Oryctolagus cuniculus: one gene and its partners. The protein of the gene in region 1 purifies or fractionates together with the protein of each later gene. This does not show direct contact. Links are inferred from orthologs where the notes say so. Each region holds a gene or a part of one and is shown in the gene's direction. Other genes may lie near its edges.

Evidence for each region.
Region 2: the proteins of VAMP4 (region 1) and VTI1B purify together in Homo sapiens (affinity purification with mass spectrometry; 4 studies listed by BioGRID and IntAct, counting the BioPlex papers as one, with this or other methods). This does not show direct contact. The link is inferred for Oryctolagus cuniculus from reciprocal best matches to the Homo sapiens genes VAMP4 and VTI1B.
Region 3: the proteins of VAMP4 (region 1) and STX12 purify together in Homo sapiens (affinity purification with mass spectrometry; 3 studies listed by BioGRID and IntAct, counting the BioPlex papers as one, with this or other methods). This does not show direct contact. The link is inferred for Oryctolagus cuniculus from reciprocal best matches to the Homo sapiens genes VAMP4 and STX12.

Annotation. Positions count from the first base shown.
Region 1 is NC_091438.1:26,788,768-26,796,926, forward strand, and holds the start of VAMP4 (vesicle-associated membrane protein 4), read left to right. Parts: upstream 1-3,823; 5' UTR 3,824-4,044; intron 4,045-7,820; 5' UTR 7,821-7,861; coding exon 7,862-7,927; intron 7,928-8,159. UniProt on the Homo sapiens protein: Involved in the pathway that functions to remove an inhibitor (probably synaptotagmin-4) of calcium-triggered exocytosis during the maturation of secretory granules.
Region 2 is NC_091451.1:13,549,836-13,557,241, reverse strand, and holds part of VTI1B (vesicle transport through interaction with t-SNAREs homolog 1B), read left to right. Parts: intron 1-1,488; coding exon 1,489-1,547; intron 1,548-4,788; coding exon 4,789-4,980; intron 4,981-7,406. UniProt on the Homo sapiens protein: V-SNARE that mediates vesicle transport pathways through interactions with t-SNAREs on the target membrane. These interactions are proposed to mediate aspects of the specificity of vesicle trafficking and to promote fusion of the lipid bilayers.
Region 3 is NC_091438.1:143,824,405-143,831,810, reverse strand, and holds part of STX12 (syntaxin-12), read left to right. Parts: intron 1-2,247; coding exon 2,248-2,347; intron 2,348-7,406. UniProt on the Homo sapiens protein: SNARE promoting fusion of transport vesicles with target membranes. Together with SNARE STX6, promotes movement of vesicles from endosomes to the cell membrane, and may therefore function in the endocytic recycling pathway.

The DNA of each region.
Region 1 (8,159 bases):
AAAGAGAGTGAGCCTGTATCATGGTATTGTTTTGTGTTAATGGAAAAAGTGATACAGGTGGTACAAAGCACCACACGTGAGGGAAAGGTTTTCCTCTGGATTAGTCTGCTAGGGATAACATACCAAATGACAACAGGCTGGGTGAGAATGCAACTTATTTTCTCAGTTCTGAGGCTCAAAGTCCCCTCTCCCTAGACTGTAAACATCACTGTGCTTTCGTGTGCCCATGCACTCAGGCACTCAGGCACCAGGCCTATTGGATTAGGGTTTTACTCTCACAACATGAGCCTTAGTCACCACTGTTCTAAAGGCCCTGCCACACTTAGTCACATTGTGGGTTAGGGATTCAACATACGAACTTTAAGGGGACACAATTCAGTTCGTCACACTTTCCATGCCAGGCTCCTAGTTCTCTTAGTGTGTAAGATACTTAAGTGTTTCTGTACACTGCATTTCTCACCTTAAATAGCACATCACAGAAATACCCCCATGTTGGCGGGTGTAGATTTATGTAGTTCATTATAGGGGCTTATGACTATCCCCATGAATGGATATACCATGAGTTATTTCAGCAATTTTCTATTGTTGGACAGTTAAAGGCTTTTATTTTTTTTAAATTTTTTTTCTGAGTCTTGCTATTATAAAAATCATGTAAAGAATATAGAACACTGCCGGCGCTGTGGCATAGCAGGTAAAGTAGCTGCCTGCAATGCTGGCGCTGGTTCGAGTCCCAGCTGCTCCACTTCTGATCCAACTCTTTGCTATGGCCTGGGAAGGCAGTAGAAGATGGCTCAAGTCCTTGGGCCCCTGCACCCACATGGAAGACCTAGAAGAAGCTGCTGGCTCCTGGTTTCAGATCGGTGCAGCTCCGGCTGTTGTAGCCCACTGGGGAGTGAACCAACAGATGGAAGACCTCTCTCTGTGTGTGATTCTTTCAAATAAATAAATCTTTTTTAAAAAAGAATATAGAACATTTATATACAGCTTGACTGTTGATGGGATAAATTTTAGAAGTGGAGCTATTAGAACCAAGCAACTTCATATAAAATGTAGACACACACTATTACTCTGAACTTGAAAAAACTTTGCATGAATTTGTACTGTCATTATCAGTACAAATTCATCATTAACAGCGTTAGGAATACCGTTTCTCCCACTTGACCCCATACCACCATGCACATGCAACACTATATTATCCAACTTTTCAAGCTTTGTCATTGAGCTAACACAAAGGATCAAATCGTCAAACCAAACTCAAACAGATCCTACCTCTTACCCAGTATCAAACTATACCAATAACTTCAAGAATACGAACAATCAAAAGGTAGAAAGGGCAGATCCAGGACTCAGTGCTACTTCCTAGGAGCTTTCTTCCTGTTTCAGATATGTCTTGGCAAAGGGTAAGATGTGCTAAGTAAGGTGTGCAGTCACCCTACTCCTACTTACACAGGAGACAACTCAGTTACAAAACATCTCCATTTTATGCCAAGTTACAAAACTTACATGGTATTTTCCCAGGAGTCAATCCCCTGAAATCTACAGATCCCTGATGTGTTTACCATTAGCAATCCTAGCCCAGAGAAATTCCACTGGTATGGACTTTCCTGCTAATAAATATCAAGTTTATTTGCCAGAAGGTTTGTCATTATCGTATATATATGAATTTCACATTTGTTTGCTTGGTAGCAGTATTTCCCTATGGTGAGAATGGACTGCAGATCTGTTTAACTCCTCCTTTCCTAGTCACTGATACATGAAGAGTGGTATTTTATCTGTTTATTTTGATTCACATTTTTGAGTGACGGTTGAAATTTGCTCACATGCTTGTATTTGATTTGCACTTCTGCCTCATGACAGACAAGAGCAACAAAACGTTGAAAGCTGTTAAGTAGCTGAATCAAGTTGCACACCTGAGAAATAGATTCTAATCAGGTCATGGAACAACCTGATTTACACAGCTAAAGTTCACGTAAGGTTCAGGAACTGGAAGTGCCAGGTAATCCTGGAAAAGAGCATGAAGTGGGCTAACAGGAGGAATTACAGAAAATATGTTTAAGAATTGATCAGATGCTCATATTCCCATCCCTATCCCAGCCAAAGCCCAGAGATTTAGTCTTGGCAGAGGGCAACACATAGGTTCTCTAGTTACAATGACACTGGGGCCCTTTAGGGGTGAAGGTCTTACGTTGAAAAAGAGTTGGAGACTAGCTTTTGGGCCAGCAGTTAAGACACCACATCCCATATCTGAGTGCCTGGGTTCGAGGTCCCCATCACATTTCTGACCCTAGCTTCCTACTAATGCATGTCACTGGAGACAGCAGGTGATGGCTTAACCACGTAGGTGCCTACCACCCACATGGGAGTTCTGGATTGAATTTTCAGCTCCTGACTTTGACCTGGTCCAGCCCTGGCTAGTGTAGGAATTTGCAGATGGAACCAGCAGATGGAAGATCTCTCTCTGCCTTTCAAATAAATAAAAGGAATTTTTTTAAATGTGAAGAAAAAGTGAAGAATTACCGTCTCCATAACTGGAGTTCATGAGAAAGAAAACAGGGGAGGAAATAATATAATTCAGGTTGGCTGGAGTCCTGACTCTAAATTCAGTGTTATTTATCATCTTTCAGGTTTACTGGCATATTGGATTCATGGTAACTGTAAAACGACATTTTCTAAGTTTTCACACATGTTAGGGAAATCAAAGGGACTTTGTTCAAGTGATTAAAGGTGAAGTTTGTATTTTCCCTCCCGTAAGCAATCATACCAAAAAGACTGGCAGATCCTTTTGGTTAAAAGACTAAGAGGCCAACGCAGTGGCGCAGTAGCTTGAGCCACCACTTAGGATGCTGACCACCTGTATCAGAGCACTGGTTGGAGCTTCCTAGCTGACTCCCAGCTAACTTACATAGGAAAGCAGCAGAAAATGGCCCAAGTACTTGGGCCCTGCCACCCACGTGAGAGACCAGGAAAGAGAACCCAGCCCCTGACTTCGGGCTAGACCAGACCTGGCTGTTAGAGCCATTTGGGGAGTGAACCTGTACAAGGAAGCTCTCTTTCTCTGTGTCTCTTCCTCTGTCTCTGACATTCTTACTTACAAGTCAAAGCATTTTTTAAAAATCTAAAAAAAAAAAAAAAAAAAAACTAAGAAAAAGAATAGATTACTCACAAATAGTACAGACACAAAATCACTTCAGAGAAGAACTAATTTCTGGGTTATCCGTGGAGGCTGGGACAGAAACTACAAGAGGCTTCCATTCCAGATGGACCACTTTTGTCCTCATCAGTAGCGAACTCCAGCTCTTGAGGGAGCCCAACCCCACTGCTCGCAGTCTGTGAACATAGCAAACTAAATCAGAATCTGAGTAGTGCCCGGGCACCAGTAGTTTCACAAGCCTTCCGGATACGGCAACTCCAGGGGCAAGCCTTAGCGGCGCCTTTTCAATTAGTGCATTAAGTCAACCACACAGAAACAGCAGCAGCATGTAAGAGCGTGTCTACTTCCTCCTCTCCCTGCGTGTCCCTTGGTCCTCTAAGCCACCTTCCTCTTCCCATTCGACTTCCTCAGCCTGGGGACGGATCTCGCACAAGCACCACCTAAAGGTCTTACCGACCCCAGTCACGAAGCTCCGAGCCCCACCCTAAGCTACTTCTCAGCGGCTCCGACACCGCTCCCCTCGCGCCCACCACGCACGCCTGATGCGCGCCAGCACCTCGAGAACCACTGTTCCTCCTCAAAACACAGCATAGCTTGGGTATCCAGATCTCAGACGGCTGGAAGGCCAGAGGTTCTTCGGGGTTAGACGCAGCGGGCGGAATCGACTCCCTCGGCGATCGCCGCGCCCTGGGCTGCCCCCTCCGCCTGCAGCCAGGCCGCGGAGCGCCGATCGGCTCGATGAGCGGGGGCGCAGCTGCGGCGCAGCGGCCGACGCCGGGTCCGCGCCCACTGTCTCCCCCTCCCAGCCTTTTCCCTCGGCTTCCCGCTCCTTCCCCCGCCCGCCCAGCGCCGCCCGCTCGGGAGAGCTGCCGGGAGCTCCCCGGGAGCCTCAGGTACTGGCGCCGGCCTCTTCCCGGCGGGAGGGGCTGGTGTGAGGAGGCAGGAAAGGAAGACGACGCCCCTGCCCCACGGCCCCCCAACGTCCGGGTCGGGCTAGGCGGGCAGGGGTCTAGGGGCCGGGGGCCGAGGAGCCCTGAGAGGGAAGGGGTTGGGGCCGGGGTCGGTGACGGGGTGTGCGGATGGGGGGCGGTTGTGGAGACTGGAGGTGAGGGGTGCGCTGGGGAGATGGGAAGAGAAGGGTGCGTGGATGAGGAAGATTTGTTCAGAGCGGGAGGTAGCTGGGGTGAGTGGGTGTCAGGGGCAGGATGGGCCCGAGTTAGCAGACGTGGGGGTCCGTGGCCTGGTGCGATCGCTGGAGTAAGGGGAGCTGCCTGTTGGAGGCTATGGAAATGGTGCTTTAAGGAAGGGCTGGGGCGAAAACACCAGCCCGTGTACGTTTCTAACCCCGGAAGGCGGGGGTCGGGCAGTACACTTGACAGGTTGTATGAATAACATCTCCAGTGTGTCCAGCCAAGTCTCTATTTCTGAGAGAGGGCAACCAAAGCTGCTGAGAGATGGGAAAGAGAAGTCAGAAAGGGATTGGAGGCTGGGAAAAGGAAGGCTGCTCAAATTCCAGCTTTTGTGAACTGAAAAACATAAATGGTGTGTGTGTGTGTTTGGTTTTCTTTGGAAAGCAAAAAGTCAGCATTTATTAAGCAGCAGATTAGAAGGTTATTACATATAAAGCCACGGAATAGAGAACACACTACAAAAATGCGTACATGAGGTTTTTTACCTGTGATGATGATGTAAGAAGTATAAAGTGTTGTGACATTTTTAAAGTGAATTGTGGAGTGGTGCCTGTCCTCAGTGTGGCAATACATAATGGTGGCTGCCTCATTTACATACAAACACCTAAATTCACAGGTATTTTTGTAGGAGAAATCTTAGGCAGAATATGTACGAATCCAATAGCTGAGCGTGGTTTATTTCTACTAGTTTGATACAAATATCTGTTGCCTTGTGACTCCTCAAGCATAGCTAATTAATCTTCCTTCTGGCTTTTCTGTTTGTCAGACATGATTTCTTGACTTTGTGAGGTTGATTCTTGGAGAATGGGACCTCGAAGGGGGTTTGCTCATCATTAAGATCTTATCTTTAGGTCTCATAAAGGCATTTTACAAGTCTTGCTTTGGGGCTGCTGAGGCAGCCTCTTTGTAGGGTTTAAAATATAAACAAACACATGAGAAAAGCTCAAGTTTCTCAGTTATTTGCTTTGTCATCTGTTTTTCCATGCATTCTGCAACATTCCTGCATGGATGAATTATTTGGAAATTGAAATATGGGGAATAAATGGACAGGACGTATGTGACAAAAACTGTGAATTGAAGAACTCTGGAACTGTTACTTAGGTGGCAACACTGGTTTATGTGACAAGTGGTTGAGTTTCTAACTTGGAAACATTTCTTTTCAGTATTTTTTTTATAGGAAGCTGGCTCAAAATATTTATTACCTTTATTAGGTCTTTGAACCTATACCCTGGTCCTTTTTCTTTCTTCAGTGCCCAACATTAGCTAACAAACTAATGCCTAACAATACCTAATTTAAAGATCTTAAATTCTTATGAAGAGGGAACAGGGCTCCTGGATTATCATGGGAAAATGTGTTTTCCAGGACAGAAATGTGTAACCTAATTGAGTAAATATTGGAGCTAATTATGGGGGCAGGCATTTAGCATAGTGGTTAAGACACTGGTTAAGATGCTTGCATCCCACATTTGAGTGCCTGAGTTCCATTCCTGGCTCCAGCTCCTGGTGTCAACTTCTTGCTAATGCACACTCTGGGAGGCAGCAGAGATGGCTGAAATGATTGGGTTCCTGCCACACATGTGGGAGACGTGGATTGAGTTTCAGGCTCCTGGCATCAGCTGGTAGGGGACCATCGTGGACATTTTGTGAGCAAGTAGCTGGGAACATGTTCTCTCTCTCTCTGTCTCCCTTCCTCCCTCCCTCTCAAATAAGCAAAGAAAGCTGATAATGCACAGCTGTCGAGCAATTTAGGTTTATGTCTCTGCTATTTCAATGACTGAAATGACAAACACTGTTATTTGTATTTACTAAGCCTTATTTTTTCTCTCAGTTTCTTAGTGCCTACTTCAAAAGAGTATCAAAGATTAAAAGAGAAAAATGCATGTGTATGGCTGAGTGCAAGGTGCAGCCCATAGTAAATAACATTCAGTACATCTTAGCTATTCTGAATTGCTGTATATTCACCCATCAAGTTCAAAATGCTGAAAATTCATATTTGCATAGGACAGCTTTTTCTGCCAGAAAATTTTAATTATATTGCATACTCAAGCATATTCCTAGAAAGTTACTATGCATGTTAACATGTAAGGGGCTGAGATGGTTCTGTAGCAAAGACTGGAGCTACTTACCTCAGTTCTGATATAAGGAAAACAAACACAGCTTTTTTTTTTTTTTTTTTTTTTTTTTTTTTTTTTTTTTTTTACTGTCTCATGACACAGAACACTTTTGTGACCCTAGAATTGGGGGGGGGGGGGGCAAACAATTCTTTCATAGATTATCTGGTGGACACCAGCTGGGTGTCCTTGAATTCAGTTTAGTTCTGGCACTGTCTACCTGGAGATAGCATCAGACCCCACAGATTGAGAGCCCAGCCCACAAGGCTGCCCCCACTTCAGAGGCCGATCTCAAGTCCCATGTTGTTTTACATGTGCTTCTGATCTACCAACTGTAAATCAAGGTGGCCATAATCCTCCCCTTGGGTTCAGTGAATTTGGTCGAGTGGCTCATAGAATTTAGGGAAACACATTTCCAGCTTATAAAAGATATTACAAAGGATACCAAAGAACAACAGATGGAATGGAAGACACGCTCAGGGCAAGATATAGGAGGAAGTGTGTGGAGCTTGCATGCCTGCTCCAGGCCTGCCACCCTCCAGGAATCGCTGTATGTTTCACTGTCCTGAAGCTCTCACAGACATGGGCCTGTTGAGATTTTGTGGAGGCCTCATTAGTAGGCTTGATTGATTACATCATCACTGACCACTGGAGATCATCCCAACCTTCAGCTGTCTCCCTAGATAGTATAGGTTGGAGCTGAGAAGTCCTAATCATGGCTTTGTCTTTCCTAAACCTGCCACATCCTAAGGTACCCATGATTTGCTAGGCACCAGTCATTTTGTAGCATACAAAAGGCACTGTTAACACTCTGGCAGATGCCAAGTGCTTTAGGAACTGTATGTCAGGGAACAGGGTTGAGACCAAATATAAAATATATGTTTATGTGTATGCACACATAAGTCCTAACATCACACCAGCACTTACAAGCATCACTTTTCGTGGAGCACCAATGGTACACCATAATTTGCAGAATATTTCTGTATGTATTATCTTATTTGACCTTCCCAACTCCATGCCAGAAATCACTATATTACAGATGAGGAAACTGCACCATTGCTTAAACAACCAAATAAAAGTGAGAGAACTAGAAGTGTACTATCATCTTCTGACCCTAAAGCATTTAATGACTCATTTTCAGAGGGCTGCCTCATAGTTTTCCCCTCTGTTTGTTCTTTCATTTTATACAAGCCTTAATTCATTTATTCCCTACACGTGTTCTCTTAGGGCAGTTACATTTATTTGCTCATAGAGGCCTGAGACACTGGAGTGGAGCAAGTGAGAGGGGTGTGGTTGAAGTTAGAAAAATGAAGGAGGCCCCCTTATTCCAGGTGTCTCAACTCTGATGACATTTATTTTCTCTTTAAGGTGGTGAATACTTGCTCTGGTGGGAAGTAGAAGAGTAAAATATGCCTCCCAAGTTCAAGCGCCACCTAAATGATGATGATGTCACTGGTTCTGTGAAAAGTGAAAGGGTAAGTTCACAGTCTTAAGTTCAGAAAGGAATGATTCCAAATACATTCATTCCCTTTGTAAATAATAGAAAAAAACTAATGTTTATGGTCACTATAGGGACAGAGAAGAGGTGATCCTTTTCCTGTCCATCGTAAAGGGTCGTGGCTGACACCCCTATTACAGAAGACAGGTTAACAGGAGGAAAGCATAACAAATTTATCTGATCTTAGTTCAGTATGACTTGAGAGTCTT
Region 2 (7,406 bases), on another chromosome or scaffold:
ATTAAATGGGAAAATGGAATTAAAAGATAAGTTTAGGGGCCGGTGCTGTGGCACAGCAGGATAAAGCCCTGGCCTGAAGCGTCAGCATCCCATATGGGCGCCGGTTTGAGACCCGGCTGCTCTACTTCTGATCCACCTCCCTGCTGTGGCCTGGGAAAGCAGTAGAAGATGGCCCAGGTCCTTGGGCTCCTGCACCCGCATGGGAGACCCAGAAGAAACTCCTGGCTCCTGGCTTTGGATCAGCGCAGCTCTGGCTGTTGCGGCCGTCTGGGGAGTGAACCAGTAGATGGAAGACCTCTCTCTCTGTCTCTACCTCTGTAACTTTCAAATAAAGTTTGGTGCAAAAAATATTTGAAATCCATGAATAGTTTTTTTTATAACACGTATTTTCCATGAACTTTTTGAAGTGCCCATGAATAAAGAGATGGCCCACCTCTCATTTTATAGCCAAGAAAAGAGGTCAGGTTCCAAAGTGCTGAAGAAAACTATCCAAGCCTACATGTTGAGGCAGACCCAAAGCTAGTACCAGAACCTAAGCCCACGACTGATCGCTCTCCCCAGATGTTTCCTGGGTAACAGCATTCCAGTATCCTCTTAGTATTTTTGCCATGTCCAAGTACCATTTTTACTTTTAATTGTTTTCTTTACATAAACTTATTTCACGTAAAACACATCTATTTAACATGTAAAGTTAGAAGGAAACGGTATCATATTTTAAATGGAAAATCTATATAATCTTATTGGAAAAATTACAGTGAAAGCAAAAGAACACTGTTTTACTTAGTTACTGCTCTGGAGCTAGAACCTATATTTGTTAAAGGAGGAGTTTAGTAATTTTACATATAAAGACATACCAGCACCAAAATAACGTGTAGGGTTGAAAAAGGGAATGACACTCATGGTGCATGTCATTACCCATGCCACCACCAGGGGGAGACAAGCACCACACCCTGCAGCCTCCCAAAGGAGCAGACTTGCAGAAAAGCAGTAACTAAGAGTTGTTTTTTTTTTTTTTTTTTTTAATATTTTATTTATTTGAAAGAGTTACACAGAAAGAGAAGGAGAAGCAGAGAGAGAGAGGTCTTCCACCTGCTGGTTCACTCCCTGAATGGCCACAATTGCCAGGGCTATGCCGGCCAAAGCCAGGAGGCTGGAACTTCTTCCTTGTCTCACGTGGGTACAGGGGCCCGAGCACTTGGGCCGTCTCCTGCTGCTTTCTCAGGTGCAATAGCAGGGAGCTGGATTAGAGCTGGAGCAGCTGTGTTTCAAACTGGCACCCATAAGGGATGCTGGCATCGCAGAGGGTGGTTTTACCTCTACGCCACAACACCAGCCCCAATCATAGGTTTTTAAATGCCTTTGGGGTGAATAAATACTGCTACCCCCACCAGGCCAGGAATGGGAAGTTTATTCTAAGCTAAAGGAATGGCCTATATACAAATGTATGGAAGCAGTAATGAGACTTAGAAACTTACCTGTCTTTTCTAGAAGAGAAGAAGAAGTTGATCAGAGATTTTGATGAAAAGCAGCAAGAAGCAAATGAAACCGTAAGAGCAAGTCTTTGTTTCTTTTTCTACCTGGTATTTCCAGAAGTAATGCTATGACCTGATTGCAGATTAACTGTCACTGTCTATTGATTTTGATTTTTACCATTTCTCACTAAATTAGTGAGGCAACTAAAGGGGGTGGGTGTTGAGGGAGTTGACAAACACAAATGGGTGAAGCTTGAATACTCTCCTGAAGTAGAGTTTTGATAACATCTTCCTGATGTGAGTAGTAAGAGTATTCTCAAGCTTTTAACTGCGTGGTCTCTTTAAATCTCTAGCCATTAAGATGGTGAATTTTTTTTTTTTTTTTTTTTTTTTTAAGATTTATTTCTTTGAAAGAGTTACAGAGAGGCAGAGAGAGAAAGAGAGAGAGAGGTCTTCCATATGCTGGTTCACTCCACAGATGGCTGCAGTGGCTGGAGCTGCACCAATCCAAAGCCAGGAGCCTCCTCTGGGTCTCTCACGTGGGTGCAGAGGCCTGAAGATTTGGGCCATCTTCTGCTTTCCAAGGCCATAGCAGAGAGCTTGGTCGGAAGTGGAGCAACCAGGACTTGAACTGGCACCCATATGGGATGCTAGCACTGTAGGCAGTGACTTTACCCAATATGCCACAGTGCCAGCCCCTTAACATTGTTTTTCTGCCTTTTTTTTTTTTTTAAATTGATTTATTGGAAAGGCAGAGAAATCTTTCATCTTCTGGTTCACCAAATGGCTGTAATAAACAGAGCTAGACTGGGCCAGGCCAAAGCCAGAACCAGGAACTCCATCTGAGTCTCCCATGTGAGTGGCATGGGAGCATAAGCAGAAAGCTGGATTGGAAGCAGCAGAGTAGCTGAAACTCAGACCAGCATTCCAGTATGGAATCCTGGCATCGCAAGTGGTAGCTTGACCCAGTGTACCACAGTTACTGTTCTTTGTTAAACTTTTACTGTCACAGAAGCTGTGGCCCACAGGTGGATCTAGCCATGTTCCGTCCTGTCCTGAAAGACAAAATAGTAGCCAGATGTGGTTCCTTAATAGGACGAATTCCCAGATAGGATCTAAAGCTTGTCATAGTACAGCTTATTAAGGGCAGAGGTCCTAAATGTGGAGCCAGTGCACAGCATTATTAATTTAACAATTAACACTTTATTTATGACATCAGTGATCACCCAAGGCTTTTATCATGAGCTGCCAAGGCTATGGAAGCCTTTTGAGTCCACAAACTCCATCAGTATTTAGACAGGGCCATAAGCAAAGTGGACGTTCTCTCCTCCCTTCAGAGAAAGGTACCTCCTTTGATGGCCCCTTCTTTCCACTGGGATCTCACAAAGATCCTTCATGTAGATTATTTGTTACCACAGTGTCTTGGCTTTCCATGCCTGAAATGCTCTCATGGGCTTTTCAGCCAGATCCAAATGCCTTACAGGCTGATCCTGAGGTCAGAGTGCTAATTAGAGCATTTGTCATTCTGTAAGTCTGCTGTGTGGCCTGCTTCCCATGTTGGATCACTGAATCAGTTTTAAAAAGGACCAGGCCACCAGGCTGTGGAGACCATCTCCTTTATAATGGGAGTACTAGAATCTCTTAATACCTTCTTAGTACAGGTGAATATACCCGTAATACCCGTTTTGTGACCAGTCGTCTTGGTAGCATAAAAAAAAAAAAATCTTTTCCCTACCACCGTTCTGTTTGGTGCTTAGATGCTTTATTTCTCAGAACTTAGAAAAATTAACAAAGCTACTCTGGTCACCCAGGCTGATGAGTAATATAGGCCCTCTTGTGAACCTAGCTAGGTGTTTTATCTATCCCACAAAGGGGAAAGCAGTCTGCTCTGTGGTCCCTGGTTATCTTCTGCATGAAGACAAACATAACTTTTTCAGAAACAGGAGGAAGTGAATAATGCAAGTGCCAAACCCTGTCATTTTTACTGTAGACCGCAAAGTGCTCCTCTTTTTAATATTTTTTTAAAAGGCAGAGCAAGAGGGAGAGATCGATCTTCTATCTGCTGGTTCATGATTCTCTCCCACCCCCCAAAATGGCCAAAACAGGTTAGGCTAGTCCAAAGCCAAGAGCTAGGAACTCCATCCTGGTCTCTCATATCGGGGCCGGTCCCAAGCACTTGGGCCATCTTTGGCTGTCTTCACAGGCACCTTAACAGGGAGCTGGATCAGAAGCAGAGCAGCCAAGACTTGAGCTGGCACTCTGGTACGGTATGCCGGCATTGCGAGCATCACCTTAACCCACTGTGCCACAAGGCTAGTCCTCACAGGACTTCTTGGCCGCACTGTTGAGCCAACCAGGCTGAAAACTAGTATATTGAGGAGAGCTAAGAAGTTGATTTTTGATTCCTGACTCCTCTTATTATGTAATCTTGAGCAGTTTTTTTTTTTAAGTCTTATATGTAAGATGGAGAGAGTATTTCCTATTGAATCGATTTATTAAGGATAAAATGACAAAATGTAAATACTTAGTAAGCTATAGGAGGGCCAGCGTTGTGGCACAGTGGTTGAGCTGCCACTTAAGATGCTGTCATCCCATATCGAAGTGCCAGTTCAAATCCCAGCCAGTCCGCCTCCCACCCAGCTCGCTGCTAATGTGCCTGGAAGCACAATAGAAAATGGCACAAATACTTGGATCACTGCCACCCTTGTGGGAGACCAGATGGAGTTCTGGGCACCTGGCTTCGGCCTGGCCCAGCCCAACATTTTGGTCATTTGAGGTGCTTCTGTTTTGTTTTCTCATCAGATTTTTTTTTTTTTTTTTTAAAGATTTATTCACTTGAAAGGCACAGTTAGAGGGAGCAACAGAGAGAGAAAGATCTTCCATCGGTTGGTTCACTCCTCAAGCAGCCACAACCACTAAGGCTAGACCAGGCAGAAGCCAGGAGCCTGGAACGCCATCTGCATCTCCCATGTGGGTGGCAGGGATCCAGGCACTTGGACCATCTCGTCTGTCTTCTCAGGTGCATTAGCAGGGAGCTGGATGGGAACTGGAGCAGCCAGGACTGGAATCGGTATCCATGTGGGATGCCGATGTTGCAGGTGGCTTAACCTGCTGCGCCACAACACCAGTTCCCATCAGATTTTTTTTAATGCTTGTGAGATACTCAGATGAGTTAAGCATGCCAGGTGCAGTTCTGCCTCATGAAGCATTTGGCTGAGGACGTACGTGGGGCACTCTGTGGTTTGATTACTCTAAACCAGGCCCATCCCCCGAGGAACCAGGCCATCTACTCATGACTGACTTTCTGCCTTCCCAGCTGGCAGAGATGGAAGAGGAATTACGTTACGCACCCTTGTCTTTCCGCAACCCGATGATGTCTAAGCTTCGAAATTACCGGAAAGACCTTGCCAAACTCCACCGGGAAGTGAAAAGCACACCTTTGACAGCCACGCCTGGGGGCCGAGGAGACATGAAGTACGGAACATATGCCATGGAGAATGAGCACATGGTAAGCTCCAGCTGTTCTTTATCAGGGCCTGGGAGACAAGAATGAACCACGTTGTAGAGCATAGCCTACATTCTATGTCCTAGATTGTTGTCTTGTGTATACCCTTCTCCTTTTTCCTGTATCCAGTCTCCTCCTCCCCGGGTCCCCACCTAAACAAATCTTTCTAAACCATACACATACCTATTTATCTCCATGCTTCATGTATGAGGGGATCTCCAACAAGTTCATGAACAATGGAGTTGTGCAGTGAAGTCCTCGCGTCCCGTGTCTGAGTGCCTGGTTTGAGTCCCTGCTACTCTGCTTCTGACCCAGCTTCCTGCACGCCCTGGGAAGCAGCAGATGATGGCAGAAGTGTTTGGGTCCCTACCATGGATGTCAGAGACCTGGATAAAGTTCCTGGCTTCTGGCTTTGGCCTATCTGAACTCCAGCTGATGTGGACATTTAGGGATTGAACCAGCAGGTGGAAGATTTAATTCTGCCTTTCAAAGGAATAAAAGTTTTCCCTTTTTTTAATATAATAGATTTATTTATTTTTTATTTATTTGACAGATAGAGTTAGTGTGAGAGAGACAAAGATCTTCCTTCCATTGGTTCACTCCCCAAATGGCCACTACGGCCGGAGCTACACTGATCCGAAGCCAGGAGCCAGGTGCTTCCCCCGGGTCTCCCACGTGGGTGCAGGGCCCAAGCACTTGGGCCATCCTCCATTGCCCTCCTGGGACACAGCAGAAAGCTGGACTGTAAGAGGAGCAACCAGGACTAGAACCCGGCGCCCATTTGGGATGCCAGTGCCACAGGCAGAGGATTAGCTAAGTGAGCCACGGTGCCGGCCCCCAATGAATAAGTTTTCTTAGTTTTTTCGCAGTACGTGCTTTCCATGAACTTTTTGAAGACATATATATAAAACAATGCTTTGTGTGTAGCAGCATGTAAGTGAAACCTGTTATTATATCCGGACTCTGTATCCCTGACCCATTAACGTAATTTCTTATCTTCTTGAGCTTTTATGTTTTCAAATGAGTTTTAGAGTCACTGTCTCAAATATGCCAAAAAAAATTCAGTTTGACTTTTTGTCTTATGTTAATGATTGAGTGGCAGAGAGACAGAGACAGAGATCTCCCATGCTGGCAACATCTGGGGCTGGGCCATGCTAAAGCCAGGAGCCAGAAACTGAATCCATGTCTCCCATGTGGGTGGCAGGAACCCAAGCACACGACCCATTTCATGCATTAGCCTTCATTTCATGTGTACATTAGCAGAAAGTTGGAATTGGGAGTCGGGACTCAAATCCAGCACTTGGATATAGGATATGGGTATTCCAAACAACATTTTAACCACTGTACCAAACACCTGTCTTCATTTAGGTTTTTATCAGAGCATTGTTACAAAACCAATCCAAGCCTTCCTTCACATTAATATCAAGATGACACATAGAGTGGAGAATGCAGGATGCTTCCTAAGAAGGGACTAATACTTTGTTTTGTTGTAATGGGAAGTGAACCAGATTGCCTTTCTTGCCTTCAAGATTCTTATAAAATTGGACTCATTGAAAAATCTGTATTCTGAAACCATCCAGAGATGCTGAACAGTTGGATTCTTTTCTACAAATGCAGTACAAGATAGAAATTGGCAAGTAGCATGGAGTAGAAATGGAAAAGGGGGTCCACCAGTGCAGACTGAACATGTGTAGAAAGGCTGGTAATGTAATTATAAACAAGTTACATTTCATAATGCATCTGGATTATAGTTTGAGACATTCAGAATGATACTGTCTTGACACTGCTATTGTTAAAACTAGACATTGTGGAGCCAGCATTGTGACATAGCGGGTAAAGCCTCTGCCTGCAATGCCAGCATCCCATATGGGCACTAGTTCATGTCCTATCTGCTCCACTTCTGATCTAACTCCCTGTCAATGTGCTTGGGAAAAGCAGTGGAATATAGCCCAAGTACTTGGGCCCCTGCCACCCACGTGGGAGACCTGAAAGAACCTCTTGGCTTCAGTCTGGCCCAGTACTAGCCGCTGTGGCCATCTGGGGAGTGAACCAGCAGATAGAAGTCTCAGTCTCTCTCTCTCTCTCTCTAAATCTGACTTTCAAAATACATACTTTTTTTTTTTTTTTTTTTGACAGGAGAGTTGGAGAGAGAGACAGAAAGGTTTTCCTTCCGTTGGTTCACCCCCTAAATGGCCACTACGGCCAGCGTGCTGATCCAAAGCCAGGAGCCAGATGCTTTCTCCTGGTCTCCCATGCAGGTGCAGGGCCCAAGCACTTGGGCCATCCTCCACTGCCTTCCTGGGCCACAGCAGAGAGCTGGCCTGGAAGAGGGGCAACTGGGACTAGAACCCGGGGTACCGGCGCCGCAGGCAGAGGATTAGCCAAGTGAGCCACGGCCCCGGCCACAAAATATATACACTTCTTAAGAC
Region 3 (7,406 bases), about 120 Mb from region 1:
ACAGTGCCCACCCGGGAACACACACTTGTTAACCTAGGCTTAATGCCCAAGGAATCTCTCTCTCTCTTTTTTTTTTTTTAATTAATTAATTTATTTGAAAGGCAGAGTTATAGAGAGGCAGAGAGAGAAAGAGAGAGAATCTTCCATCCACTTGTTCACTTCCAAAATTGCCGTAACAGCTGGAGCTGGGCTGATCTGGAGCCAGGAGCCAGGAAATTCTTCCTGGTCTCCCACACAAGTGCAAGGGCCCAAGGACTTGGGCCATCTTCTGCAGTTTTCCTAGGCCATAGCAGAGAGCTGGTTAGGAGGAGGAGCAGCTGGGACTAGAACTGGCGCCCATATGGGATGCCAACACTGCAGGTGGCGGCTCTCCCGTTATGCCACAGTGCCAGCCCCAGAAGCCTCATTTATAAGAGCATTAAACCTGAGGTTAGGATTCCAACATGTGAATTTTAGGGGAGCATAAACATTCAGACCGCCACATGTGGTTTCTCTGACCTCCCTTAAAACCTGTGTAGAAATGCCTGAGAGCATAGGAAAGAAGCAGTGAGTGAAAAGGACTCTTACATGTTTCCATTGCTTTCCAATCCCACTTATTATATTACATATTCTTCCTTCTCTGGTTTCCTTCCCTCTCTACTCCTTATGTAATTTTAAACTACGTAGGGCTTCTTTGTTTTGGAGGGAAGAACCACAAAGTCAAGCATAAAGAGCAGATAGGGAGCCAAGGATAAAGCCGAGAAAGAAGCAGCTTTAAGCTAGGAAATGAGCATAGGTCTTAGGAGATTGTCCTCTAGGGTAGGTGGGAAGCGATGCTTTTTTTTTTTTTTTAAGATTTATTTTTATTTTTTTGAAAGGCAGAGTTACAGAAAGAGGGAAAGACAGAGAGATCTTCCATCCTCTGGTTCACTCCCCAAATAGCCACAATGGCCACAGCTGGGCCAGACCCAAGCCAGGAGCCAGAAGCTTCTTCCAGGTCTTGACTATGTGGATGGTAGGGGCCCAGGACTCCAGCTGCGTTGTGCTGGTTTCCCAGGTGCATTAGCAGGGAGCTGGTTTGGAAGTGGAGCAGCTGGGACTTGAACTGGCACCCATATGGGATGCTGACGCTGTAAGTGGTGACTTAACTTGGTACACCACAACGCCAGCCACTCCTTCCCCTTTTTTTTGAAGCATTGCTTTTAACTTTTTTTTTTTTTGACAGGCAGAGTGGACAGTGAGAGAGAAAGACAGAGAGAAAGGTCTTCCTTTTGCCGTTGGTTCACCCTCCAATGGCCGCCACGGCTGGCGCACTGCAGCCGGCGCACCGCGCTGATCCGAAAGCAGGAGCCAGGTGCTTCTCCTGGTCTCCCATGGGGTGCAGTGCCCAAGCACTTGGGCCATCCTCCACTGCCTTCCCGGGCCACAGCAGAGAGCTGGCCTGGAAGAGGGGCAACCGGGACAGAATCCGGCGCCGGCGCCGCAAGGCGGAGGATTAGCCTAGTGAGCCACGGCGCCGGCCTGAAGCATTGCTTTTGATAAACATTTTATTCAGCCATCTGTGCCTGGATTCTGGTCAGTGGACTAAGACAAACATTAGCTATGCAGAAGTCCTGGGCAATTCACTGTGAGAGTTTTATGAGAGAGTTTAGTGGATTGAAATGGTCAGGTAAGACTTAGGTATAGGTAGCATTTACTTTATTTATATATATATATAATATATATATATATATTTTTTAAGATTTATTTATTATTTGAAAGGCATAGTTACAGAGAGGCAGAGAGAGAGAGGTCTTCCATCTGCTGGTTCACTCCCCAAATGAGCACCATGGCCGGAGCTGGGCCAATCTGAAGCCAGGGGTTAAGGAGCTTTTTTCTGGGTTTCCCACATGGGTTCAGGGGCCCAAGAGCTTGTGTCTACTTCTGCTTTCCCAGGTTGTAGCAGAGAGCTGAATTGGAAGTGGAGCAGCCGGGACTTGAACCTGGTGCCCATATGGGATGCAGACGGTGGCTTTACTTGCTACGCCACAGTGCTGGCCCCTTTTTTCTTTTCTTTCTTTTTTTTTTTTTTTTTATTAGAACTGCTAATGTACTTTTCTTTTCTCCCCAAGAGTTAAAATTTCCAATCTGTGCTTCCTTCAGTAGGTGTCAGTGAGGCAGGTTCTTTCTGCTCAGTGATGTGAAGATGCCTTGAAGTGGGTTTACAGGGGTAATATTTCTGAGCACCAAGAAATGACAACATCCTGAAACAGATCTTTTCTCTCCTAGGCAACAGTTACAACACTCCACCAATCAGCTGGCCAAGGAAACAAATGAATTGCTGAAGGAATTGGGATCCTTGCCCCTTCCCTTATCTGCTTCAGAACAGGTTGGTACTTCCTGTTTTGCTTATTCAGTAGGCAGGCAGTATGTGAAACAAACGCAGTTTGGCCCCAAGTGCTAGATGGCCCTCCTCTGAACCTGTTTCCTTACCCGTAAAGTGGGGGATATGTGACCATTGTGCTGATACAGAGAAAGTGTACACTTAGTATAGCAAAGTGTCTGGCATGTGTAGGTACTCCACATGTGGTGGCTGCTGCTGTTATTAATAATCTGTTATCAATGTTTTAATCAAATGGGTTTAATGGAGGAGGGATCTCTATGTGTATCTTTCTGGAGTTGGTTAGCAGTTTTATGTTTGGAGGCTTGGTCCTAGTTTGTTTTGTACCCAGTATCTATAATTTTTTTTTCATATTTTGCAGTCATATTCACATCCCATCATGATTCATTTATAGATCTCAGGCTAAGGAAATGCTCAGGGGAAACGGTTTCTCTGTTGTTGTGTTTTTTGTTTTTTTTAAGGTTTATTTATTTGAAAGAGTGAGAACAAGAGGGAGAAACAGAAAGAGATCTTCTGTCTGCTGGTTCACTCCCCAAATGGCCACAATCGCAGGGGCTGGGCCAGGCCAAAGCCAGGAGCCTGGAACTCCCTCAGAGTTTCCCACCTGAGTAGCAGGGGCCCAAGCACTTGTGCCACCCCCTGCTGCTTTCCCAGGTGCATTGCAGGGAGCTGGATCAGAAGCAGAGCAAACAGGATTCCATACCCGCTGCACCACAACACTGGCCCCAAGAATACCTTCAAGCCACTTTGCTCAGTGGTCATTTCAGTCGTTTAAAAACACAATTTTATTGATGTTCATTGTTCCTTTAACAATGTCATGACTTTTCTTCATGCTTTCCTGAAGTCATTTGTGGCCTCTCCTTCGCTGTGGCTGACTCATTTACCTGTACCATGGCCTTCTCAAATCCTTCCTCTTCCAGGAAGACTGCCTTCACCTATGTTAGCCCATTATGATTCTGCTTTGCTTTCAGCTTCCATACCATTCACTGGGGGCACTTAATTTGCACTGCTTTTCATTATTGGATGTTTTAAATGATGATACCCTGTCCCTGATGACTCTGAAGACAAAGCCTTCTGAATTGTTTTTCAAACTGTGGGTTGTAACTATAGAACAGGATATCATTTCAGTGTGTTGTGGTCAGCATTTTAAAAAATTGAAATAGAGTAGAAAAACCAGAATGTGTACCATAAATAGGGCAAATATTATTACATGAAATTTTTTAAAAAGATTTATTTTCTTTATTTGAAAGGCAGAGTTACAGAGAAAGAGGGAGGGAGAGGCAGAGACATATCTTCCATCCGTTGGTTTGTTTCCCGATGGCCTCAATGGCTAGAGCTGGTCTAGACCAAAGCCAGGAGCTTCTTCTGGGTCTCCCACATTGGTGCATGGGCCCAAGCACACTTGGGCTATCTTCCAGTGTATTAACAGGGAGCTGGATTGGAAGTGGAACAGCTAGTACTTGAACCGGTGCCCATACGAGATGCCAGTGTTGCAGGCAGTGACTTTACCCACTATGCCACAATGCCAGCTATACATGAAATTTTTATTTTATGCATATATGTGCATATGGTACCAGGTCATAAAGTCAAATTTATACTGTAGATTTTTTTCTATTTCTGTCATAAAAGTTTGAAAAGTACTGGTTTGTCCTATTTAATGTAGCATATGTTCAGTCAGGAGTTTTGGTGCCCTCTTGTTCAAAAGAAAGGAGGGAAGACTGCATGCTTTGTCATCCCGCTGCAAAGTAGTTATAAAAAAGGACAGGTATGTCGCATAAGACACTGCTTGGGACCCCTGCATACCCTATCAGAGCTACTGTTTTCAAGTCTGGGCTGGGGCTCCTGACTCCAGCTTCCTGCTAAAGCATGCTCTGGGAGGCAGCAGGTGATGACTCAAATAGTTACGTCCCTGCCACTTGCATGGGATTGAGTTCCTGGCTCCAGGCTTTGGCGTGACCAAGCCTAGCTCTGATGTTGTGTCATATAGGGAATGAACCAGCACATGGGAGATCTCTTTCTCTCTCTCTCTGCCTATCAAATTAAATTAAATTAATTCATTTTTAAAAATATAAAAATTGTGAAAACCCTAATTGATCTTGGCTAAAAAAATAAAGTCATCTTGCTGTAATCACTTTTTAGTTATCCATCTGTGAGTGTTTTAGATGTTATTCATGCTGACTTCATTTAGGAGCCAGTTCCTGCTTGCCATCCAGCATCCCCAGACAGCTCTCAAATTACCCCTTTCTTCTTCTCAGCTATACACTTAAGCAATGTGCACTTTTTTCATAGTAATAAAAAAGGAGTCTATGGGTCTGGTGCAGACAGAATATTCAAAGTGCTTAAGGGTTAAATAGTAGCCTAAGCGAAATATAAATAGAAAGTTAAATTTGCTACCAAAAGTTTCTCATCTAACGTATTCTAAAGGCAAGCAGAAATTATTTTTGGATTATGCATGCCATTGTTCCCATCCATTAGTTTGGATCATTACGCACACAAAATAGATCCACAAATTACCCTCTCTGGTGAAATACAACTCCTTGATTCCTTTTTGCCTGTTGGCTGAGTGCCCTTTTTTCTTTCTACTCTTGTCATCTAGTTAATCTTAGCCCCATAACCCATCTTTTTATGACTATCTTATACACAAACCATAACTCCTACTTTCAGTTTTTTTCCATGTTTACTTGCCATCACTAGTGATTTAACTGCCAAATCCAGTGGCCTTTTTTGAATGTTTATTTACTTTTCTTCAGTTTCCTTTGACCCTCTTGCACATCCTGTCTCTACCGCAAGTTCCTTTCCATGATTCTCTTTCCTTCTTCCCCAGTTCTGGCAACCCCCAGATCTCAGCCCTCTTCCCTGAGGCTGTCACCTCCTAGAAGTGAGCCTCCCCCAGGGCTCGGCCGTTGGTTGTGCACTTTTCTCCTGCTGTGCTTCCTCCCTCAGGAGTCCTATGTACGTTCAGATTTCCCTGTCACCCCTAGGATTATGGTCCCTAGATCTTTTTCCAGCCTCGTGCCCTAGCCTAAGTTTTGGTCCATTTGGCCAGTTTGTGTTCTGACATCTCCTCCTGAATATACTGCCTTCAAATAAATTTCACATATTGTACTGAATTCCTCATGCTTCACCCAAAACTCTTAAGTAAGCTAATTGACAGTATTTATTGTCATAAAAAAGTTTGTGCCTTTTGACCAAAATTTCCCCATTCATGCAAATTTGTCCTAAGGTGGAAGTAGAAAATCTGAGAGAAAATAACAACTGTTTACTTTAGATGCAAATGTCCTGGGTTTACACTCCAACTTTGCCATTTACTGAGAGATCCTGGGCAAATTGTGTACCGCTCTGTGCTTTGATTTTCTGATTGGTAAGATAGGAGCTATAACAGGACCTAATTTATAGATTGTTATGAAATTAAGTGAGTTGTTTTATGTGACAGTATTGGTACATGGTGAGCACTGTATAAATATTAGCTATTAAAATGGCTCACTTCAGGTTTATTTGAAATAGTTAAAAACTGGAAAGTGTCTAAAAGAAATGTTTACATAAAATTTACTTAATCAGGGCTGGTGCTGTGGCATAGCAGGTAAAGCTGCTACTTACAGTGCTAGCATCCCCACATGGGTGCTGATTCAAGACCCGGGTGCTCCACTTCCAATCCAGTTCTCTGCTATGGCCTGTTAAAGCAGGGGAAGATGGCCCAAGTCCTTAGGCCCCTGTACCCACATGGGAGACCTGGAAGAAGTTCCTGGCTCCTGGCTTCAGATAAGCGCAGCTCTGGCCATTGTGGCCAACTGGGGAGTGAACCAGCGGATGGAAGACCTCTCTCTCTTCTCTCTCTCTCTCTCTCTCTCTCTCTCTCTCTCTCTCTCTTTCTCTGCCTTTCCTCCTCTCTCTGTGTAACTCTGACTTTCAAATAAATCTTAAAAAAAATTTACCTGATCAACTTGATGAATATAGATAACATCAAAGATCATAATGGAAAATATTTATAATAAAATATTTAAAAGATAATTTTGGGATGGAGAGCTTGGGAAATGATGTCTCCCTCCTCCTTATTGTTATAATGTTTATTATTTTTTAAAGATTTATTTATTTATTTGAAAGAGTTATACAGAGAGAAAGAGAGGCAAGAAGAGAGAGATTTTCCATTCAGTGGTTCACTCCCGAGTTGGCCGCAGTGGCTGGAATTGCACCCATCTGAAGCCAGGAGCCACGAGCTTCTTCCATGTCTCCCACGTGGGTGCAGGGGCTCAAGGACTTGGGCCATCCTCCACAGCTTTCCCAGGCCATAGCAGAGAGCAGGATCAGAAGTGGCACAGCTGGGTCTCAAACCAGTGCCCATATGGGATGTCAGCACTGCAGGTGGCAGCTTTATCCGCTACGCCACAGCACCGGCCCCATATAATATTGTTTATTTAAAGTTAAAAATCCTAGAAAAAGGAAAAAAAGTTCATCACCCAAACTTGCTTTCAGTATTATCATTCTTTTTGGTTTGAAATTTGAGTTGTTCTTGACTTTATCCCTCTTCTCCTACCACAGTGGCTAAGTCATAATGTTTCTTAAACTCATTTCATTTTTATTTTTTTAGACTTTTATTTATTTATTTGACAGGTAGAATTACAGACAGAGAGACAGAAAGGTCTTCCTTTTGTTGGTTCACTCCCCAATGGCCGCAACGGCTGGAACTACACCTATCCGAAGCTAGGAGCCAGGTGCCTCCTCCTGGTCTCCCATGTGGGTGCAGGGCCCAAGCACTTGGGCCATCCTCCACTGCCTTTCCAGGCCACAGCAGAGAGCTGGACTGGAAGAGGAGCAACTGGGACTAGAACCTGGCGCCATATTGGATGCTGGCACCACAGGCAGAGGATTAACCTAGTGCACCACGGCGCTGGCCCCTGTAACTCTGCCTTTCAAATAAAAATTTTATTTATTTATTTTATTTGAAAGGCAGAGTTACAGAGAGAGAGGGAGAGACAGGGAAATCCTCCATCTGCTGGCCCAATCCCCAAATGGCCGCATGGCCAGCACTGGGGCCAGGCTGAAGCCAGAA